Arabidopsis thaliana: one gene and its partners. The protein of the gene in region 1 purifies or fractionates together with the protein of each later gene. This does not show direct contact. Each region holds a gene or a part of one and is shown in the gene's direction. Other genes may lie near its edges.

Region 1 (6,159 bases):
CGTTCATTTAAAATTCGAAAAATAGAGAAATCTAGAGAGAGATTTCAGATCGGAATGAATCAACGGGAAGACTTAAAGAATGGAAAAATGAGAAGAAGTCGTACAGATTCAAGTAGGCGGTTTTATTGAAAAGTCCAAAAGGAGGATTATGAGGTAAGAGAGGAAGAAGTCAAACAAGTAAGTCTCTATTGGTTGACTTGGAAGCTTCTGAGAAAGTAACAATGGCGGAGAAGGGAAGGTGAAGTTGAAAGCGAAACCGTGTGCCCTTGTCCCGTACGTGTAAGTATATACGGTAACAGATCCCAAAATCATATATAAATTGGAGAAAGAAAAAAACATTCGTAATTTGAATGATTTTTAAAATTTTATTTTGTCGGCTTTGGATACTTTAAGTTTATCATCCAAAGGATACATTAGCCCATACGAAACACTTATTGATAAATTGACTTCAGCAGAAAACATTTAAAAAAACAAAAATGTTACTGTATATCAAATTAATTTACATAATTTAGAATCGTCCATCGAACCAAATTTAAAGAAGCCCACCAAATCCTTGCTTTTCTCCGTTAAAGGGCCAAGCCTAAACCCATAGCCCAGTCTTTGAGCACCGGAAAGCAATTGTAATACTTCGATTGTTCGATTTGTAAGATATACAACATCCTAACAACCATACACCGATATACATAAAGAACAAGTCAAATGTTCAATATGAACAACCATATAAAAATAGAATCACTTTCCTCCCTAATCTATAGGATACCCATATGTTGTATAAATCGTTGATTCCAAGTTTCCTATTTAAAGATCTCAAACAAACAAAAAATATACAACATTTTTGCAAAACTAATTGTTCCTGATTTGAGATATTTTGTCATCAGCTGGTAGGTTAATAAATCAGACATGAAGATCATCCCATTGATGTCCATTGCCTTGGTCATATTCATGACGTCATTTCCGGCTCCCATCAAAGTAGCCGGTGGTGTGGGTAATTGTGAAAAGGACATGCAATGGTGCATAGACAAAACTGAATTCTTTACTCACGGTTACATTTATGAGCGTTGTTGTTATAATATGATAATGAAAAAAAAATGTATGTGTTTGTTTCTCAAGTCCCCCAAGCTAAAGATAGCTGCTCGCAACGTTAACAATGCGTGTGGTCGTGGTGGTCTTCCAAAGGATGCATTCTCTGAGTTCAAGTGTTAAATATATAGATACATAAAAGTAAATAATTAACAACAATAAAGCAAACATATTTTTGATCAGATTTGTACTATGTAGTTTAATGGTTTGTACTTTGTAGTCGTTATGTTTAATAACTTGTCAATTGTCCTTATAGTTTTGATAGAAGTTAGAACACATAATATATAAGAACAATTGTCTAGAGAGACTAATGACTAATTAAACTTTGATTTATCATGTAGCTTAGTTACAAACAACAAGTATTGCTTCAAAAAGTATAATCCTTTTGAGTTCCTCCCAAAAGAGCCACCTCCATTGCCATCCTTTCCACATTAGAGTTTACCAAATTCTAAATTAACAGAGCAAAAGTGAAAAATCAACAAATATATGCGTCGAAAGCCAATTTTTACATAATTTTGTGTCTGCATAATTTAACTCCATTAAAAAAGCATGGAGAAACTTTTAAATAATTTAATTATGACTTTCTAAGTGGGGTCCAGACCATAAAACGCTGCGTTTTAAGTGAAATTATCGGTTCAACCGGCCGGTCCGGTTCTAAGAACATCGGTCGATCTAGTTGCTCCTATATGAACAACAGAAGACCTAAACCCTAACTCCCCCCCTCTCTCTCTCTCTCTGCTCCATTTCTCTCACTTTCTTCACATCTCTGAAGCTCTTCGTCACGCATCTACAATGGCATCGATGATGGTAAGTCGCATCTACACACACTTTCTCTCTCTATCTCACTCTCTGTGCTATAAACTGACTAACGTGCCACTACTTTGGTTTTGGTTTGATGAGCAGCAACCGCAGATCATACTGCTGAAGGAAGGGACGGACACATCTCAGGGCAAAGCGCAACTAGTAAGCAACATCAACGCTTGCACTGCTGTTGGAGATGTAGTTCGAACCACGCTCGGGCCACGAGGGATGGACAAACTCATTCACGACGATAAAGGATCCGTCACCATTTCTAACGATGGTGCTACCATCATGAAGCTCCTCGACATTGTTCATCCTGCTGCTAAGATCCTCGTCGATATCGCCAAATCCCAAGACTCCGAGGTCTTTGTTTTATTTCAATTTTTTAATTCCCAATCTGAGTTTTCGAAAAAATCGTAATTGGACTGATCTTGAGCTAATTAGCGATTCCATATTAGATCTCTAGTGTTTATATTAAGTGCGATCTAGTATTCAGATCTTAGAATGAGTGACTGAGTTCATGAACACTGAATCTTCTGTTGTTGTTGTTGTTTGGTTAGGTGGGTGATGGGACAACTACAGTGGTTCTTCTTGCAGCAGAGTTTTTGAAGGAAGCGAAGCCATTTATTGAGGATGGTGTTCACGCTCAGAATCTAATTAGGAGTTACCGCACTGCAAGCACTTTGGTTTGTAATTTTTTCTCGTTAGTATAATTACAAGTCTTTTTGATTTATTGGTTCTTTTGTTGCCTTACTCACTATTAATTATTGATGTAGGCAATTGCCAAGGTTAAAGAACTCGCTGTTAGCATTGAGGGGAAGAGTGTAGAGGAAAAGAAAGGTTTATTGGCTAAATGTGCTGCTACGACTCTCTCATCTAAGCTTATCGGTGGAGAAAAGGAGTTTTTTGCTACAATGGTTGTTGATGCTGTTATGGCCATTGGGAATGACGACAGGCTAAATCTGATTGGGATCAAGAAGGTAAACACATTTCTATTTGTGTCTATACTGTGAAGCCAAGTTAATGATGCATCTAAGCTAATGTCAAGGTTTGCTCTGCAGGTTCCTGGTGGCAATATGCGAGACTCTTTCCTCGTTGATGGTGTAGCTTTCAAAAAAACATTCTCGTATGCTGGTTTTGAGCAACAGCCAAAGAAATTTCTTAACCCCAAAATTCTCTTGCTTAACATCGAATTGGAGTTGAAATCTGAGAAGGAAAACGCTGAAATTAGGTCAGCATTCTGGATTTTTATGTTTATTTTTTCCCTTCAATTAAACATCTTTTGGCCTTATTTGACTTGGCTCCACCCATTGTTCACAGGCTGTCAGATCCATCACAGTACCAGTCAATAGTTGATGCAGAATGGAATATCATTTATGACAAACTAGACAAATGTGTTGAGAGTGGAGCAAAAGTTGTTCTTTCTCGATTGGCTATTGGTGATCTAGCTACTCAGGTTTGTTGATACCTTTTCTTTGTTTTGCTCATCTGCTGGATGATGTTTTTCCTGCTTATTCAGGCTGAAAATTGACGTCTATCTGTATTTCTTGTGAAATCATTTGACATCTTAGAGGCATGATTACATTGGTAGGTTATGGTCTTGCAATTCTCAGTATAAGACTATTATGCATGAGCAACACTTTAAAGTTTCAATTATAAGTTCGTGTTGTAGTAAGTTTTAAGATGTTTTATTTCCTCTGAAACATATGAATAAGTTCTTTGCTCTTGTCAATCAATATTGTTCGCTACAGTACCTTGCAGCTTGGTGTTTCATTTTCAATATCAATCAAGAGTGCTTGACTGTGTTTTACTTGGCATTTTCTTGCAGTATTTTGCCGATCGTGATATTTTCTGTGCTGGTCGTGTTGCTGAGGAAGATCTTAACCGTGTGGCTGCTGCAGCTGGAGGAACAGTTCAGACAAGTGTTAACAACATAATAGATGAGGTTCGCGAAAAAGGAATTTCTTTGTTTGCTATTGGATATGCTTATTAGCTTTAGGTGACTTGTTGATTTCATTCATCTGATTCAGAGATTGATTTTAATTTCTGCAGGTTCTTGGAACTTGTGAGATTTTTGAGGAAAAACAAGTTGGTGGGGAGAGATTTAATATATTCAGTGGTTGCCCTTCAGGACGAACAGCAACTATTGTTCTCCGTGGTGGAGCTGATCAGGTATGCATCAAATATTGGAGGCTTCATGAATGTAAACCAATCAACATAAATATTAATTCCTTTGAAACGTTAATGGCAGTTCATCGAAGAAGCTGAGCGGAGTTTACATGATGCGATTATGATTGTGAGAAGAGCTGTGAAGAACTCAACTGTTGTTCCTGGAGGTGGAGCTATAGATGTGAGTATCCTCCATTCACTGTGGTTCAGTATTTAAATTTTGCATGTAGGGTTGAACCATTCCTCCTGGTTGTAGATGGAGATAAGCAAGTACCTGAGGCAGCATTCAAGAACAATTGCTGGGAAGTCACAGCTTTTCATCAACTCTTATGCGAAGGCTCTAGAGGTACACTTCCTGGTTGGCTTGGCTGTTTTAACTTTTGTACCTCTTAATTTCACATATAAATAAAAGCTTTCTAATTGTGTTCTGTGTTATTCGGCACCTATAGAAAAGACATATTTCCTGTTCGCTTGTTGTTGTGTACAATAGGAGTTAGTAAACAACCAAGGAGGGTCTCAATATCTTTGGCCAGGATCTGAAAATTGTTGGTTCACCTTTGATACACAAAAATCTGAATTCACACTGTTTATGGTGGTACTACAGGTTATTCCACGACAGTTATGTGATAATGCTGGATTTGATGCAACTGACGTCTTGAATAAACTTAGACAAAAACACGCCATGCAAAGCGGTGAGCCTTCTCTCACAGTCACAAGCTTGATGTATTCATCTTTTGATGAGAGCTGCTTAATCTCATTCATGATATCTTTGTTATAACAGGTGAAGGAGCTTCGTATGGAGTGGACATTAACACTGGTGGCATAGCAGATTCTTTTGCTAACTTCGTTTGGGAACCAGCAGTTGTGAAGGTATTTCAAGATTCTATAAAATTCCACTCTTTTTTCGTTCTTGGGACTATTGTGCCAGTTATGAATATGTCTATCTTGTGTGGATATCTTTCATTGAAAAGTTTATTGATAGTATGATTCCCTTTGTTCTGGTAGATCAACGCAATAAATGCTGCGACTGAAGCGGCTTGCCTCATTCTTAGTGTCGACGAAACCGTGAAGAACCCTAAAGTAAATAACACATGCTCTCATTTTCTTTTGTATGTTTTGACAATGTATATGTATTGTATTGATAATTGTTGTCTATTGCAGTCTGAGAGCGCACAGGGAGACGCCGCAGGTGCAATGGGGAGAGGACGCGGTGGAGGTCGTGGCCGTGGAATGCGAAGGCGATAAGCTCCGTCTCTAATGCCAAACTTGTGGGATTCTTCTTCTTCTTCTCTAATTTCGATTTTGTTGAATTTTTGTTTTGAAGTTAAAAAACCTATTATTGGGTTTGTGTTTGTTCAATTAGAATACTGGTTGGGTATGTATGTCTATACAATCTGTGAAACATAAGTTTTAGTGTTGTTTTGGTTAAGGAGTTTATATTTGCTTAATCAAATCTTGACAAGAATGAATCACTGTAACAACTTCAGATGTGTTGTAGATGCAACTCTAACTATATGCATCATCATCTTGATCTAATAGCTCGATTGAGGATTGATCGATCCTCATCAAAAAAAATGCATACACTTGAATATTTCGATATCTATGTGTTTGAGTATGAAAAAAGTTCGATGCTAAGTATGCGTTGTGTGTGCAGCAGATTATTTACTTAGATCTTTGGCCCTTTGGGTGAGATGCTTAGCAGCTTAGTGAGAAGAGTTATGTCAATACATGGAAACTTCTTCCACTCATCAAAATGATCTTTTAGTATCTCTTTTGCTTTCTCCTTCAAGTTCAAACCACAATCCATTCCTAGAACGGAACAGAGCTTCTCTACCGTCCCAACATTAACCATCTCTTCCACCACCATGTTTTCCGGCGAGAATTTTGACACTGTAGTTAGGATAGAGATAGCTCTATCGTCTGCCGCAGGTGAAACCCTCAATAGCCGCTTTGTCACAACCGCGATTCCGCCCCTATGAGCAAGAATCTCGGCTCTACCGTTCGCACAGCAACATAAACGAGATAAAACTCCTAACATAAGTTCTGTGATTCTTTTCTCGCCAGTGTAGCTTATTTCGAGTTCGATGAGTTCAGAAACCGCACCGAGAT
Region 2 (4,756 bases), on another chromosome or scaffold:
TGTACATGTAAATATTAAACAAGACTGTAAACTATATAACAATATCAGATATTCAAATTTTTCATTTAACATGCTTTCAAAATAAATTTTAAATAGCAAACATAACCGTTGTTGTTATCACCGGTCATCAAGTTGTTGTTATCACCGGTTATCAAAATGTTATCTAATTAATTCCAAAACATAACCTAATAGATTAAATTGTCATTGATCAAAACATAACATAAAAGAAAAATGAGCAAATAAACATCTTAACATGAAAACATAAGGTAACAACAATATACAAACTATTTATGATATCTATATTTACGGATCCATCGTAAATAATCATCTTTCGCTTTAAAGTTTTTGATGGAGCAGTCGGTAAAACTTAGGATCCAAAAAACTTTTTGTACTATTACTATTATTTATGGTTAAAATTCTCTTTTTCTTATTAACTTGATTTCTTTATGTGTTTTATATTATTTTTATAAATAATTGAAAATCATTTTTAAAATTTGCAATATTTTATTAATATTGTAAAATACCGTCATAATAAAAATTATTATGGTAAACCATAAATAAGATTATTTAGTAATCAAATGACATTGATCTAATATTTATATTTTTCTTTTCTGAAAAAAACTTTCTGGTTCGTTTCTGTTCCGGTTTTCAAAACTCTGTCCGGTCATGTGGAATGCTAAATTACAAATCCACCTTATTATAATTTAAATTACATAAATACCCCTTAAAACTCACATATTTATACTTTGGTCCCGGTAGTTCTCTTTTCTTTTTAAATTAAAGGATTATCTGCTTAGCAAAAAAGAAGAAGAGAAAAGGCAATGTTTTGAAACCCGACCCGGACGATGAACCGGACTACCTTCTGGGTCACCGGGTCACCGGGTCAACCGGGTTGGACCACGGGTTAATTAGTTAAAATTTATTTAATAAATTTAATATTAATAGAAAATTTAGAGTATTTTATAATAAAAAAATTTGTAGTATTTATAAATATAAAACAAAAATAATCATATCATATTTAATCAAATATAAAATTATATTATATTTAACAAAATATAAAATCATTTACACCCAAATATATATATATATATATAGAAAAAATCAAACAATAATAATAAAGTGGTTAAAAATTTGAAATCCAATAAATGTCTAACACCGTAACAAATATATTAGGAGATCATCAATGACATAAATAAATTAATAAAACATCGTGAATTAAAACAACTAATCTCGGTTGTCTCTCTCACCATTCGATTCAATTTTAAGGCGGTATTGTAAAGTCTTCAACAAAATCTAAAACATCAAATGAATTTAAGAACTGAAAAAACTTCTAAAAATAATTGAATAAAGTCTAAAATCCCATATTTTATTGTAAAATCAAGAGAACTTTTTAAAACCCACACCCGGCCGGTTCAACCGGTTCACCGGGTCACGGGTTAATTGCGAGTTTTTGTGGGTTTTTTCGGTTTTGAACTTGTTGGGTTTTAGCACTAAACCCAAACCGGAAAAGTGTTCGGGTTACGGGTTAACCGGTCGGACCGGACGGTTCGGGTCGGGCGTGAAAACACTGAGAAAAGGGTTTTTTAGGATTCTTTAAACGCAGAGCTGAGCTGAGTTACATAAGATCGAGAGAATTCGCAAACTCGTTTCTTCATTCGTCTTCGTCTTTCGCCATGGCTGCTCTACAATACTTGGAATCTCTGAAAAATACGCATCCAGAGCTCGGCGAATGGTACAATTCCCTTGCAGATCTGTATCAGAAAAAGCTCTGGCATCAACTCACCCTTAAGCTCGAACAGTTCATCGCTCTCGCTGTCTTTCAGGTACTTTTGCTTCTCCTCCGTAATACTAATTGGTTTCAATATCTATCTAGGTTTAGTAGTGGTCCTTGTGGATTTTAGGGTTCATAGATCTCGACAAATATCGTAGAATCTGTGTTTTTACTTCCGAATAACACGAGTTAGAGATCCGTTTGGAAGATGATAGGGTTTTCTCGGATTAAGTTCTTCGAAGAAAGTTAGGTTTTAGGGTTTATAGATCAATTTTGATTGCTTCCAAGTTTTTGTGTCTGATCTTAACCTGTGTCATTGTTATAATATAATTTTTTTTCATTTCAGGCTGGTGATGCTTTGATTCAGTTCTATCACAATTTCATCACTGACTTTGAGACGAAGATCAATCTTCTGAAGCTTGCGCATTTTGCTGTGGTGGTCTCTCGACAGTACTCTGAGAAAGAAGCTGCAGTTAGCTATCTTGAAAGCGTGATTGAGAAACTTAGAGCTACTAAAGAGCCTAGGATTACTGAACCAATCATTTATATTGAAACACAAAAAGCTTTATTCAAGCTTGAGCAAGGTGATCAGAAGGAGTGCAAAAAAATCTTGGACGATGGAAAGAGCTCTCTTGATAGTATGACTGACATTGATCCATCAGTCTATGCCAACTTCTATTGGGTGTCTTCTCAGTACCATAAGTGCCGTCAAGAATTTTCTGATTTCTACAAAAGTGCTCTGCTTTATCTTGCATACACGTCTGTGGAGGACCTTTCAGAATCGTTTAAGCTGGTATGCCCCTGTAATATTATGTACCTTGTTCTTATATTTTGTTCTTATGTTAAGTTTCCTGTTAGCGATAGTGGATAAGAGTATTCAGAAATTTGATGAAATTTAGAGGAAACTGAAGAAAAAAGTTGCGTACTAGTTAGCTTCCCTAGAGTCACCGATCAAATTTTGCTAATGTCAGATCATATCTGTGTCTTTCAGGATTTGGCTTTCGATTTGTCACTATCAGCTCTACTTGGGGAGAACATCTATAACTTTGGGGAACTGTTAGCCCATCCCATTGTAAGTTTTCCTTCATCCTCGACATAAACTACTGTTATATTTTCTTGTGTAGATAAAAGGCTTCTTGTTGATCTTTAATTGCTTGGATTTACGATAGATACTGTTTGTGAGTTGAGACGGCTTCTAACTCTCATGTTATAGTTTTGCTTAGAATTGTAGATGGTTCTCTTACATGTAGCATTTCTCTGATGACAGTTGAAAAGTCTCCTTGGAACAAATGTGGAATGGCTCTACCACATTCTACAGGCATTCAACCATGGTGATTTAGTTCAGTATCAAGAACTATGCCGTGTGCACAACGCATCCTTGATTGCTCAACCAGCACTTGTTGAGAACGAGAAGAAGCTTTTGGAAAAGATCAACATTCTCTGCCTTATCGAGATCATCTTCAGGTAAACTTTTCTCTAGGCAATTGTACCTCACGCCGTTTCAATCAAAGAAATAAAATCATGTGCTAATACATTTGATTTTAAACTCTACATCAGCCGACCCGCTGAAGATAGAACCATTCCTTTGAGCATCATCGCTGAGCGTACTAAACTTTCCATTGAAGATGTTGAGCACCTTCTCATGAAGAGCCTTTCTGTAAGTATTAGTATCTCCTTGCATTTTTCTCTCTTGTGTTCTTTTAGTACCCAAAAAACTCTGCAGCTTCCGGGTTAAAATCTGTTGTGGTGACCAAGGAAAGAGTTTGTCTGAGTGACCAACATAATGATACTGAACTACCTGTCATCTGATTAAGAACAACATAGTAAACATCACCATACGCATTGTATCTCTAGGTTTATGTATTTGCAGTTGTCGTCTTATTGCGTAATTTTGTTATAGAACTCAAATGATCTTGACTGGTTTTGTTCCTGACTTAGACATAGAATGATTGTGTATGCTTCTGTAGAATCTAAAGTGGAAAATGAATGATACAGGTGCATTTGATCGAGGGCATCATAGACCAAGTGAACGGAACAATTTATGTCTCATGGGCGCAACCGAGAGTACTAGGGATTCCACAGATCAAGGCTTTGAGGGATCAATTAGACAGTTGGGTTGACAAAGTTCACACCACTTTACTATCTGTTGAAGCCGAGACACCAGATCTTGTTGCAGCATAAGAGAAAAGAAAACCTTCTTCCTCCTTTTGAAGCTACTGAATGTAAAACACCATCTTCTCTGGGATTAGATTCAAGTTTTTTATTTCAGTCGTAGAAGAAATTACAATTGCTTTTTAATCTTTTGACTTCCATTTCAAGATGTCCGAAATTTCAGTTCTACATTTAGACTATTTTCATACATTTTTTCTTAAAACATGTCCTTGACAATCATTCATTATTCACATAACCATAACAAGTCAATCAGTTTATAGAAAAAGTCATCTGATAGGATCTAAACGTGGACTCACTCACTCTGAATAGTTGATTTGAGCCTAAAATTTGGGGATTCTCGCGGCTTCTGGCACTGGTCTCCGATTACGTCACTTCCCGATGATTTCATCTTGGACTCATAGCGCGTATACCAAGATTCAATTCCCAACAATCTCACTCCTTTCAAGGCGTTTCCGATCATTGTTACGTTGCACAGAACATTGTCTCTATGCACTCCTCATAACCCTGAAACACGTCACTACCGTTGGTATATTCTTTCTCCGACGCAATGGCTTTATCCTTATCGCTTCTCTTCCTCCTATGCCTGCTCATGGAAGCTATATTGCTTTAGGTTCAAAAGATTTACGTTTTTAGATGGCGTTTATGATTCCGGTGTGACTTCGAGAGTGTTAACCACTGTGGAGATGTGAATTCTAAGAAGTGAGAGTATATATGCGTGTGTCGTTGATGATGTATTGTACTACTAAATTTGTGCTCTAAACCATAACAGCTAGACATAATTCTAAATTTCATGTTATGGTAGGAAGATTGTTG
Region 3 (4,634 bases), on another chromosome or scaffold:
GGCTTGACCATATGGACAACGGGCTGCCCATGGGCATGAATTGAGTCAATAGACATGTCTTCATTTAATTGTATTTTTATAATTTTAATTACAATTACAACTAAATAATTTTTAAATAATATATTTTACATTTATAAGTTTTTACTTTTCTGAAAATTTTAAATTTTAATGAATTATTTCTTATTAAATTATTTACGATTTTAAAGGAAAGATAGTATTCCACAATTTTCTGGAATACGCAATTTTTAAATTTTACGGTTTTGACGGGAAAAATACAATTCTCCGATTTTACGATTTTGACGGAAAAACGTAATTCTGCAAATTTTCCACCAAAATCGTGATTTTATTATATTGGCGAGAACACAATTTTACGGTTTTGACGGGAAAACGCAATTCTCTGATTTTACGGTTTTGGCGGGAAAACACAATTTTCCAGCCAAAATCGTGATTTTATTATATTGGCGAAAAACACAATTTTACAGTTTTAGTGAGAAAACACAATTCTCCGATTTTACGGTTTTAGCGGTTAAATCGTTATTTTTTTGTATCGGTGAAAAAAATAATTTTACGATTTTACCGTTTTGGCGAAAAAAGCAATTCCATAATTTTTTCGTCAAAATCGTGATTTTATTGTATTGGTAAGAAAAACACAATTTTACCATTTTGTCGAAAAAAGACAAGTCTTCGATTTCTACAATTTTTACGGAAAAATGCAATTTCTCAATTTTTCTTTAAATTTATGATTTTTGATTTATCAATAATAACAATAATAAAATAGGCTAACCATGGGCTTGCCATATGGACATGGTCTTTATTGGGCATGGACATTTTTCGGACCAAACCGTCCAACTTGGCCCATAAAAAAACTGTCCGTACGGACACGCCCAATGGTCTTTGGACGGACCATTTGACACATCTAGAAACAACCGTCAGCAGTAGCCATTCGTTAAGAGTTTCAGAATTCCGATATATACATTTTGATACAACCTACACAAAAACAAAGACAAAGAGAGAAAATCCAACTATGAGGAGGATTATCTTGTTGATAGTGCCATCAAAAACAAGAGTTAGTTATTCACCTGAAGGTTTGGCTAAACAAAGTATATTATCTCTTTTCATATACCTGTCAATTACATCTTGACGCTGCATTGTCAACAATAGAGACCTCCTATGTCCTTTGTATTCACTCTTGGCTTTCTTAAGTACTCTAGTAGATTCATCTACAAATGTAAACATGGTTGTCTTCGCCGCGAGGTCGTTTGCATGTTCTTCTTTTACTTGTTTCGTTTCAGTTCGTTCTTGATCCTGCAAGATCGGGCGTCTTCTCATTGCGGCGTTAGTTAATTAAAGTATTTTGTGCAAAAAAAATTTCCGTCCAATTTTGCAACTTTATACTCTATGTCCAAAAAAAACAAAATAATTATATGAAATTTAAAATAATACGTAATATAGTCAATTTTTACAATTTTACATATTGTAAACGTAAAAACATTTGTTTTTGAAATTTTTTAAAAAATAAATAGTTAAACTACTCATATCAAGAATTTTGATTTGATATATTATTTATCAAAATTTAAAAGTTTAATAATATCAAAAAAAATTATATTGTGTATTTTTTTAATTTTATATAATTATTCTGCATTCTTTTAACGTGAAATGTAAAGTTGCAGCCCCAGGGAGTATTTTAGAGTTTTTTCGAAGATAATTGTAATCTTAACTTATTATTTCAAGGGTATTTTGGGAGATTGACTATTTTTTTTTGGGTTCTGTCTTGAAGACAAAGAAAGCTTTCTTCTATAATACATCTTTCTCTACAGATCACACAGAAGCAAAAATTCCATCTCCGATTTCGGAAGAGAGTTGTTCTCTTCTCTGAGAAGAAGAAGATGAGCAGAGGAAGCGGCGCTGGTTACGATCGTCACATCACTATTTTCTCACCGGAAGGTCGTCTCTTCCAAGTCGGTCAGTAATCAATTTCTCTATCTTTTTTGTTTTTTTAATTTATAACTTCGGAGATTGATATTACTGGTTACGGATTTTGTAGAGTATGCTTTCAAAGCCGTGAAAGCAGCTGGAATCACATCGATCGGTGTCCGAGGGAAAGATTCAGTATGCGTCGTTACGCAGAAGAAAGTTCCGGTGAGTCCTCTTTTGACTCCTTAGGGTTTTTGTTCAAGTGAGGGTTTTGAATTAGGGATCTGATGAATGATTTGTGGGCAGGACAAGCTTTTGGATCAGTCTAGTGTATCTCACCTTTTCCCTGTTACCAAGTACCTTGGATTGTTAGCCACTGGCATGACAGGTTTGTATTTCTCATCACAATGCTTGTTCATTATGGTCATGTTTTGATCTTTCTGGGGTTGCAGCTGATTCAAGGTCATTGGTACAACAAGCTAGGAATGAGGCTGCTGAGTTTAGGTTCCAATATGGTTATGAGATGCCTGCAGATATTCTTGCTAAATGGTAATTAATTACAGACTCTATGTGTCTCTCTACACTTATGAAAGTTACTAATACTGAACTATTGTGCTGTGACAGGATTGCAGATAAGTCTCAGGTTTACACACAACATGCTTACATGAGACCCCTTGGAGTAGGCAAGTTTCCCTAATCCCTATTTATACATTTTACTTGTGTGGTGGTTTTATCCTGATTCTTGTTTTCTTTGTCTTTGTGAAGTTGCCATGGTTCTAGGTATTGATGAAGAGAGAGGACCTCTACTTTACAAGTGTGACCCAGCTGGACATTTTTACGGTCACAAGGTAATACCACCTACTTGTTATGATTAGATAAGCCTCTGCCTCTTACATGCATATTCGTATAGACTACTGCCTTTGCTAACATGGAAGAAAGAAACATTATATTGCACTTGCCTAACCAGATACTGTACTGAGAAACTTATCTGCTTTTAAGAGTTACTGGTTGACCATGGAGGTGAAACCAAAAGTTCTACACACTGTAAACCTGTGAAATATGATGTAGTCACATACGTGGTACATATGTTCCATAGGATCAGAGGCTTCTATATAAAGTTTCTCCACTTATAAGTTAGCAAACATATGATGCAGGCAACTAGTGCTGGTATGAAAGAACAAGAAGCAGTCAATTTCTTGGAGAAGAAAATGAAAGAAAACCCTGCCTTCACATATGATGAAACAGTACAGGTAATTATGGACAATCCTTCTTTATTTTAGATCGGAAGCAGGTTGATCATTTGCAATGTTCATTTGCTTGCACTTTAAAAGCTTTATTGTTTTATATTAGGTTTAGAAACTGTAGGAACGCACAAAACACCAAAATTCTGTGACAGACCTAGACCATTATATCTGACTTTGAGTTATCAACTTTTGTAGACTGCTATATCCGCTCTCCAATCTGTTCTTCAAGAAGACTTCAAAGCAACTGAAATTGAGGTGTCAATTCTCCACTATCTGTACTCCTTTTTGTATAAATGTTGGCAAGAGTAGTATTTTGTATATATGTTGGCCAGAGTCGAATCGTGTTAGCCAGAGTTGTATCGTGGTTAGGAATAAAGAAGGAGAAACCAATGGAAATGTAGTTTTGTTAAAGCTTTGTGAAAAGGCATGTAAATATTTATGCTGGCTACTGTTGTGTTGGCAGGTGGGAGTTGTGAGAGCTGATGACCCTCTCTTCCGTTCCCTGAGAACAGAGGAGATCGACGAGCACTTGACGGCCATTAGTGAACGTGACTGATCACTTTCACTGGAACATTCAGTCGGGACTTTGCATCTCTTTCTTTTGCTTTAAATCTATCTAAGATGATTCACGTTTCAGAGAAACGTGTTTCCATTAGTCATGAGTCGTGTAGTTTTCATTTGAATCATCTGCTTCCTCCTAATAGGAGTTACATGTAAGGGTGTCAAATTAAGGTCGAATGAGATGGTTTAAGGTTTTGAATTTTAAAAGGCAAAACAAAGAAAGTTATTTACAAAAATTGGGAAATCTGCAAAACCTGGACACTTGGTCTTTAACATAATCTCCTAAAGGAACTCTGCATTTTGATGTCCGAGTCCAACTCAATGAACAGAGCTTGACTGAAACGTTTTTTGGAGGTGAAATTCCTTTATTCGTAGGCTTGTTAAAGAGTCTACGCTATAGCTTACCCTCGACTCTCTGCCACCCTTGATTGCGATACTGATATAGTTGAGCATAAAACTCAAAAGGTCGTGTGAAGAAGAATTTTGGTAAGATGTCCTTTGTTCTATCGCCTTTGATGTATATGTTTTTGAGTTGTGCGATGCATGCTGCATTGTCTTTGTACATAATTGTTGGAGCTTTTTTCCTTGCATAGATACCACAATCTTTTTGTATATGGTAACTATGGATCTTAGCCATACACGCTAAAAATCTTGCGGCTAGTTTCATGAATTGCTAAAATCTCTGAATGATTAGAAGATGTGGCTGCAACAGTTTTCTTCATAGAACGCCAATAAATAGCAATACATGTGAAGACATATTCTGTTTACGATCTACCATTATGGAGATCAGATAAATATCCTGCATCTGCAAAACCTTATGGAGATCAGATAAGTATCCTGCATCTGCAAAACCAATTAAATCTTCTAAATTGGTTAGGAAAAAGCAGACTCATGTCTTTCTTACATTGGAGATAA
Region 4 (5,248 bases), on another chromosome or scaffold:
GTAAGTTACAACTAATGATATCTATATCTATATGCAGCCTGTTCAACTAGGAAAAATCAACAATTACACACATGGAATTTTTCATTGTGATAAGAAATCAGATTCTTTAGTCCCTTAGTCAATAAAATAATCACGAACCAGCAAAGTATATGACTCAACAACAAGAGTCCTGATATTGCATATCCCAAGACCATAAACTCATCACATAATATATGCTAATTATTACCGAAAAATGAGCTTCTTAATGCCTAAAATTCTGATTTGAACTTGGCTCGTACGCTCATAATTTAAAGCTCAGCCAAGAACATCATGATAGCCAACAGAGATGCATACACTTTCTTGAATTAAAATCCCAGATCACAATGAAGTAAAGTTATCTAAGTAAAATTTAATTATTTTCAAAAAAAAACAATATTCATGGCTTTTGTTCATCATTCCTTTCTTGAATCAAAAGGTTATATATTTGATGAGAGTAAAGAACAGAATAATGATACAATATACATTCTCTTATATAGAGATGAGATTTCCTAATCAAAGATAAAACCTAAATGTAAATCATATATATTTGATAAATGTAAATATTACTAAAACTAAGATATGATAATATTTTAGATCCTTCTGCAATCTTCATGATTTCCATATTCTTGGGCGATCATCTCAACCATCAATGATTGATTTCCAGTTTCCCCAATAAAAGTAGCTTTAATTCAAATCATAATAGGATAATCAGTTCTTAAATACTTTGGAAAAATATATGGATAAAATCAGAAAAATAAACCTCTTTCAAATAGGAATAAGAAAAAAAATAGGAATTAATCATTTTGATTTTCTAGTTGATGTATTGATCATATAGTTGAGTATTCTTATAATGTAAATTAGCCGATCAAGATTTAAATATACTTTTTAAACGTTTCTTTTTAAGCTGATTAGGTTTTAGAAATTCTAGGGGAATTAGTTTCATGAGTTTTTATAATTTTGTTTTGCAAATATTGTTCAAAAATCAAAAATCATTAAAAATCTGAAAACATATTTATGGCCTAAAGGCTAAAAGTTGGATATAATTTATTTATTTTCGGTTGGATATATTTTGCTTAGTTTTATCCCGTGTGTATTTTTTCCTTATTTATATATAGTAAACGAGAACGTAGACAGAACAGAGTTGGGATGGAGACAAAGAAGAGAAGAAGAAGAAGAAGGAGATGATTTTCTTAACAGATGATCTATGGGCAATTATACTTGCGAGATTACCACTAACAATCATCACCACTTCAAAACTAGTTTGCAAGCAATGAAATCGCTCATAGAATCTCCCTTTTTCCGCAAACTTTTCAACACCCACCATCAAAACTCTCATTCTTCATGGTCAATCCTCTGTAGAGTCCTACCTGAAGAAGTCGTGGCTCACTACGAAAGCGAGACTTGGGGTCTTTCACGATCTCTAGGTTCTTACATTTCTTCTTTCATAACCCACAAATTCAATACTCAATTCCCATACGTTACACTCGTCGTGGCTTACACTCATGTTGGATTGATTTTGATCAGTTCTTGCAACAAATTACTAACTTACTATGTGGCTAATCCGATCTCAAGACAATGTGTCGATAATATATCACTAAAATTTTCTTCAAAAGTTTCTCTAAACTGTATTACAATGTTTTCACAAACTTTCATCGATACCTAAATAGTTTATATCTTTATTTTCATAAAAATTTGTGATTAAAAATAAAATTCGTTAGAAATTAGAAATTTTATTAATCTTTGTAATAAGAAAGTAAACTTATAACAATTTTAAAGTATCTTTTTAATATTTTCCATTTTAATTTTAGTTAAATACATATTTTTCTTCCTATATGATTGATTGCATCTTAAATCGCATATCTTAAAGTGGCAGAAGAGTAAATAAAGTGGTCATCAAAGGGCAAAATAGTAAAAACACCACCTCGACTCTTTTTTTCTTCTGTCTTGGACATAAAGCTTGATTCAATTCCATTCCTTATTGTTATATACACATCTCTGATTCAACTCCACCGAATTCAGAAGATCGAAGAAGATGAGTAGAGGAAGCGGCGCTGGTTATGATCGTCACATCACTATCTTCTCACCGGAAGGTCGTCTCTTTCAAGTTGGTCAGTACTCTCCGATTCCCACTCTCAATTCCTTTTCGAGCTCTGAAAACTGAATACACACTTTTGCTTTTGTAGAATATGCCTTCAAGGCCGTGAAAACAGCTGGTATTACTTCAATCGGAGTTCGTGGGAAAGATTCGGTTTGCGTCGTTACCCAGAAGAAAGTTCCTGTGAGTGAATCTCTCTTTTCATTGTCTCTCGTTTTTTTTAGGGTTTGCAAAAAAGTTGCGTCTTTTATTGAACCATTGTATGGATTTAGGTTTCTAGTAGATTGAGGATTGTTGGTGTATCTTACCCATTAGGGTTTTTGTTTTTGGGTTGGGACAGGACAAGCTTTTGGATCAGTCTAGTGTTACACATCTGTTCCCTATCACCAAGTACATTGGATTGGTAGCTACTGGCATTACAGGTTCGTTTCATGACCCTTTTATCTCCTCTTAAGCTGTAGAATTTATTGCTATGGATGGTAATTTGAACATGTGAATTTCGTTTTCAGCTGATGCAAGGTCTTTGGTTCAACAAGCAAGGAATCAAGCAGCTGAATTTCGGTTCACTTATGGATATGAGATGCCTGTTGACATTCTTGCTAAATGGTATCGTTGCTAATCGACTTGGTGTCTCTTTTTTCAGATGGTTCTTTAACTTCTTAGTGGAGGCTGGCTTATAGTTATTGATCTATCTAGCTCTTCTGTGATAAATGGTGTTGCTGATAAATAACTATTTTACTTACAGGATAGCGGACAAGTCACAGGTCTACACTCAACATGCTTACATGAGACCCCTTGGAGTTGGCAAGTTTGCTATCTTTTTCTTTTCTTAAGACCAATCTAGACATTAGTGCCTACTTGTGTTTGATGCGTATTATATCACCTTCACGTTTTGATGAATATTATTGGCTGACAAAAGGAATTTTCTTGTTGTCTCTCTTTATGAAGTCGCTATGGTAATGGGTGTTGATGAAGAGAATGGTCCCTTACTTTACAAATGTGACCCAGCTGGACATTTTTACGGTCACAAGGTATTATCTATCACTCGTAGCTTATACTTTAACTAAACTTGTCTTCTAATACTTACTGTTTTGATTGCTTTTGCTGGCCTGCATCAAGATTTATTGATAACATATCTGAATAATATCGTCTTACAAGCATATTGACATACACTACACACTATTTACTGCTTGTCACTAACATAGAAGAAAATGCCTCAGTCTATAAGTCATTGTGATAAGCATAAACGAAAAAAGTATAATATGACTATAGGAGTGAGTTAGTCATAATTGCGGAGAGTTTTGGTCATTTGGGTTGTTTGTGGTAAGCCTTTCAGACTTTGGGATAGGTTTGGGTACTCTATAAGATAGCATAACTCTCACTTTAGTTCTTTGTATCCGGTTGCTCCTGGGTTCATTAGTTTACTTGTTTTCATTTGTAGATTTACAGAGAAGAATAAAGGAAACTTTTTCAATCCTGTCTTTCTCATTTCGCTGATCTTAACACTTTTTAGGAATCTTATGTATAAAGGTTTTTAAGCATCGTGCTCATTTCTACTTTTAGTAACTGATTGATCCTAGGTTGAAACAAAACACGTTTTGTGTATCTATTCAATGACATGACTACATACAGGTTACACATGAGTCTTCTGGACTATATGACCAAGATCTCTAGAGGATAGGATATACAAAAAAATTATTCTCTCTCTCAAAAGTCGTAGATATTTCATGTTAATTGAAAAGCAGCTAATAGACAAGCAACTGTATTCGTGCAGGCAACTAGTGCTGGTATGAAGGAACAAGAAGCAGTCAATTTCTTGGAGAAGAAAATGAAAGAAAACCCATCTTTCACATTTGATGAAACCGTGCAGGTAAATTATTTGCATTATCTTTCATATTTTCCCTGCTTATGTTCGAATACGGTAACATATGTTCATTTAGCTGCTGATTACTTGTGCTGTTACTTTGTAGATACAAATCTATTAATATTCTTGATGAAGTACCAAATGCACATTGTTCCTCACGTTGATATTTTTATACGTTTGTAGACTGCCATATCGGCTTTGCAATCTGTTCTTCAAGAAGACTTCAAGGCTACTGAGATTGAGGTATACAAAACTCTTCTCGTATATGATGGCAAGTTTATTGTATCATTTGTGGGTTATATATCTTATCAAACCGTTTGGTGAAATGATAGGTAGGTGTGGTGAGAGCAGAGAACCCGGAATTCCGTGCATTGACAACGGAGGAGATTGAGGAGCATTTGACAGCCATTAGTGAACGAGACTGATCAACTTAGTGAAACAAGTGTGAGTTACGTTGCTTCGCTTCTATCAGACATTCCTCTAAAGTGACCACTCTCCATCGATCTTTTGTTTGGTCTTCCTTCCATAATTTAATTTACTTAGTCAACCCAGCAAACTTGAAAAACAAAAATGCACTGTAATGCTTAAGGCTGTGAGAGTTTCCGAGTCTTTTGACTCTTCAGAAATGACACCAACTTTACTCATATCATCACTTTCTAGCTTTTTATTTCTATCGTTGCAGTTGCTGTGTCTTCGTCTTCACCAGTTCTTAAACTCGAATTCGTTTTAAGGTTTCAGTTGTTAGAAAGTGAGGGATCATTCTTACCTTTCAACAAAAAAGGTTTAGGTTATGGATTCCAATTTTTTAGGATCAGTCAAAAATTTTAGGATCAGTCAAATTTTTTTTACATCGGCATAATGCTTAGGGCTGGGCATAAAATCCAAAAATTGATCAAAAATCCGGCTCCGAAACCAAACCGAACCGAATAGTCACAAAATCCGAATACATAATGGATATTCCTATCTGAATTATCCGAAACAAATCCGATCCGAACCAAAAATTGAACGGATATCCGCTAATCCTAAATAAAATTATATATCTAAAAATATTAGTTATAATTTATATCCAAAAAATACTAAATAGCAAAAATATCCGAAATAACTTTACTGTCCGATTTTTTTACTTTTATTTGTTAAAATTATACAATGTTTTGCAAAATTAAACCAAATTTTAGTAAAATTAAACGATTTTTATTAAAATTGTACAATTTTTTAATTTGTTTTTTTTTTAAATCAAAAACTGATCCGAAACCGTTCCGAATCTAACACCA

Evidence for each region.
Region 2: the proteins of AT3G11830 (region 1) and AT5G45620 fractionate together in Arabidopsis thaliana (co-fractionation; one large-scale study listed by BioGRID). This does not show direct contact.
Region 3: the proteins of AT3G11830 (region 1) and PAA2 fractionate together in Arabidopsis thaliana (co-fractionation; one large-scale study listed by BioGRID). This does not show direct contact.
Region 4: the proteins of AT3G11830 (region 1) and PAA1 fractionate together in Arabidopsis thaliana (co-fractionation; one large-scale study listed by BioGRID). This does not show direct contact.

What each region holds. Positions count from the first base shown.
Region 1 is NC_003074.8:3,730,862-3,737,020, forward strand, and holds AT3G11830 (TCP-1/cpn60 chaperonin family protein), read left to right. Parts: upstream 1-1,795; 5' UTR 1,796-1,872; coding exon 1,873-1,887; intron 1,888-1,983; coding exon 1,984-2,244; intron 2,245-2,441; coding exon 2,442-2,567; intron 2,568-2,657; coding exon 2,658-2,861; intron 2,862-2,942; coding exon 2,943-3,112; intron 3,113-3,201; coding exon 3,202-3,337; intron 3,338-3,709; coding exon 3,710-3,826; intron 3,827-3,933; coding exon 3,934-4,053; intron 4,054-4,132; coding exon 4,133-4,231; intron 4,232-4,306; coding exon 4,307-4,396; intron 4,397-4,654; coding exon 4,655-4,742; intron 4,743-4,831; coding exon 4,832-4,920; intron 4,921-5,055; coding exon 5,056-5,130; intron 5,131-5,211; coding exon 5,212-5,295; 3' UTR 5,296-5,610; downstream 5,611-6,159. Other genes in the region: SYP121 (syntaxin of plants 121), read right to left, coding at 1-7; AT3G11825 (Bifunctional inhibitor/lipid-transfer protein/seed storage 2S albumin superfamily protein), read left to right, coding at 901-1,203; PUB24 (E3 ubiquitin-protein ligase PUB24-like protein), read right to left, coding at 5,717-6,159. UniProt on the Arabidopsis thaliana protein: Molecular chaperone; assists the folding of proteins upon ATP hydrolysis. Known to play a role, in vitro, in the folding of actin and tubulin.
Region 2 is NC_003076.8:18,499,917-18,504,672, forward strand, and holds AT5G45620 (Proteasome component (PCI) domain protein), read left to right. Parts: upstream 1-1,569; 5' UTR 1,570-1,673; coding exon 1,674-1,823; intron 1,824-2,117; coding exon 2,118-2,564; intron 2,565-2,762; coding exon 2,763-2,843; intron 2,844-3,038; coding exon 3,039-3,235; intron 3,236-3,328; coding exon 3,329-3,428; coding exon of another isoform or gene 3,429-3,506; exon of another isoform or gene 3,507-3,766; coding exon 3,767-3,952; 3' UTR 3,953-4,228; downstream 4,229-4,756. UniProt on the Arabidopsis thaliana protein: Acts as a regulatory subunit of the 26S proteasome which is involved in the ATP-dependent degradation of ubiquitinated proteins.
Region 3 is NC_003071.7:2,232,340-2,236,973, forward strand, and holds PAA2 (20S proteasome subunit PAA2), read left to right. Parts: upstream 1-1,679; 5' UTR 1,680-1,886; coding exon 1,887-1,962; intron 1,963-2,044; coding exon 2,045-2,139; intron 2,140-2,220; coding exon 2,221-2,302; intron 2,303-2,366; coding exon 2,367-2,463; intron 2,464-2,538; coding exon 2,539-2,597; intron 2,598-2,679; coding exon 2,680-2,762; intron 2,763-3,068; coding exon 3,069-3,164; coding exon of another isoform or gene 3,165-3,194; exon of another isoform or gene 3,195-3,353; coding exon 3,354-3,413; coding exon of another isoform or gene 3,414-3,415; intron 3,416-3,621; coding exon 3,622-3,714; 3' UTR 3,715-4,131; downstream 4,132-4,634. UniProt on the Arabidopsis thaliana protein: The proteasome is a multicatalytic proteinase complex which is characterized by its ability to cleave peptides with Arg, Phe, Tyr, Leu, and Glu adjacent to the leaving group at neutral or slightly basic pH.
Region 4 is NC_003076.8:13,764,571-13,769,818, reverse strand, and holds PAA1 (proteasome alpha subunit A1), read left to right. Parts: upstream 1-1,930; 5' UTR 1,931-2,050; coding exon 2,051-2,126; intron 2,127-2,201; coding exon 2,202-2,296; intron 2,297-2,453; coding exon 2,454-2,535; intron 2,536-2,622; coding exon 2,623-2,719; intron 2,720-2,858; coding exon 2,859-2,917; intron 2,918-3,061; coding exon 3,062-3,144; intron 3,145-3,887; coding exon 3,888-3,983; intron 3,984-4,160; coding exon 4,161-4,220; intron 4,221-4,309; coding exon 4,310-4,402; 3' UTR 4,403-4,743; downstream 4,744-5,248. UniProt on the Arabidopsis thaliana protein: The proteasome is a multicatalytic proteinase complex which is characterized by its ability to cleave peptides with Arg, Phe, Tyr, Leu, and Glu adjacent to the leaving group at neutral or slightly basic pH.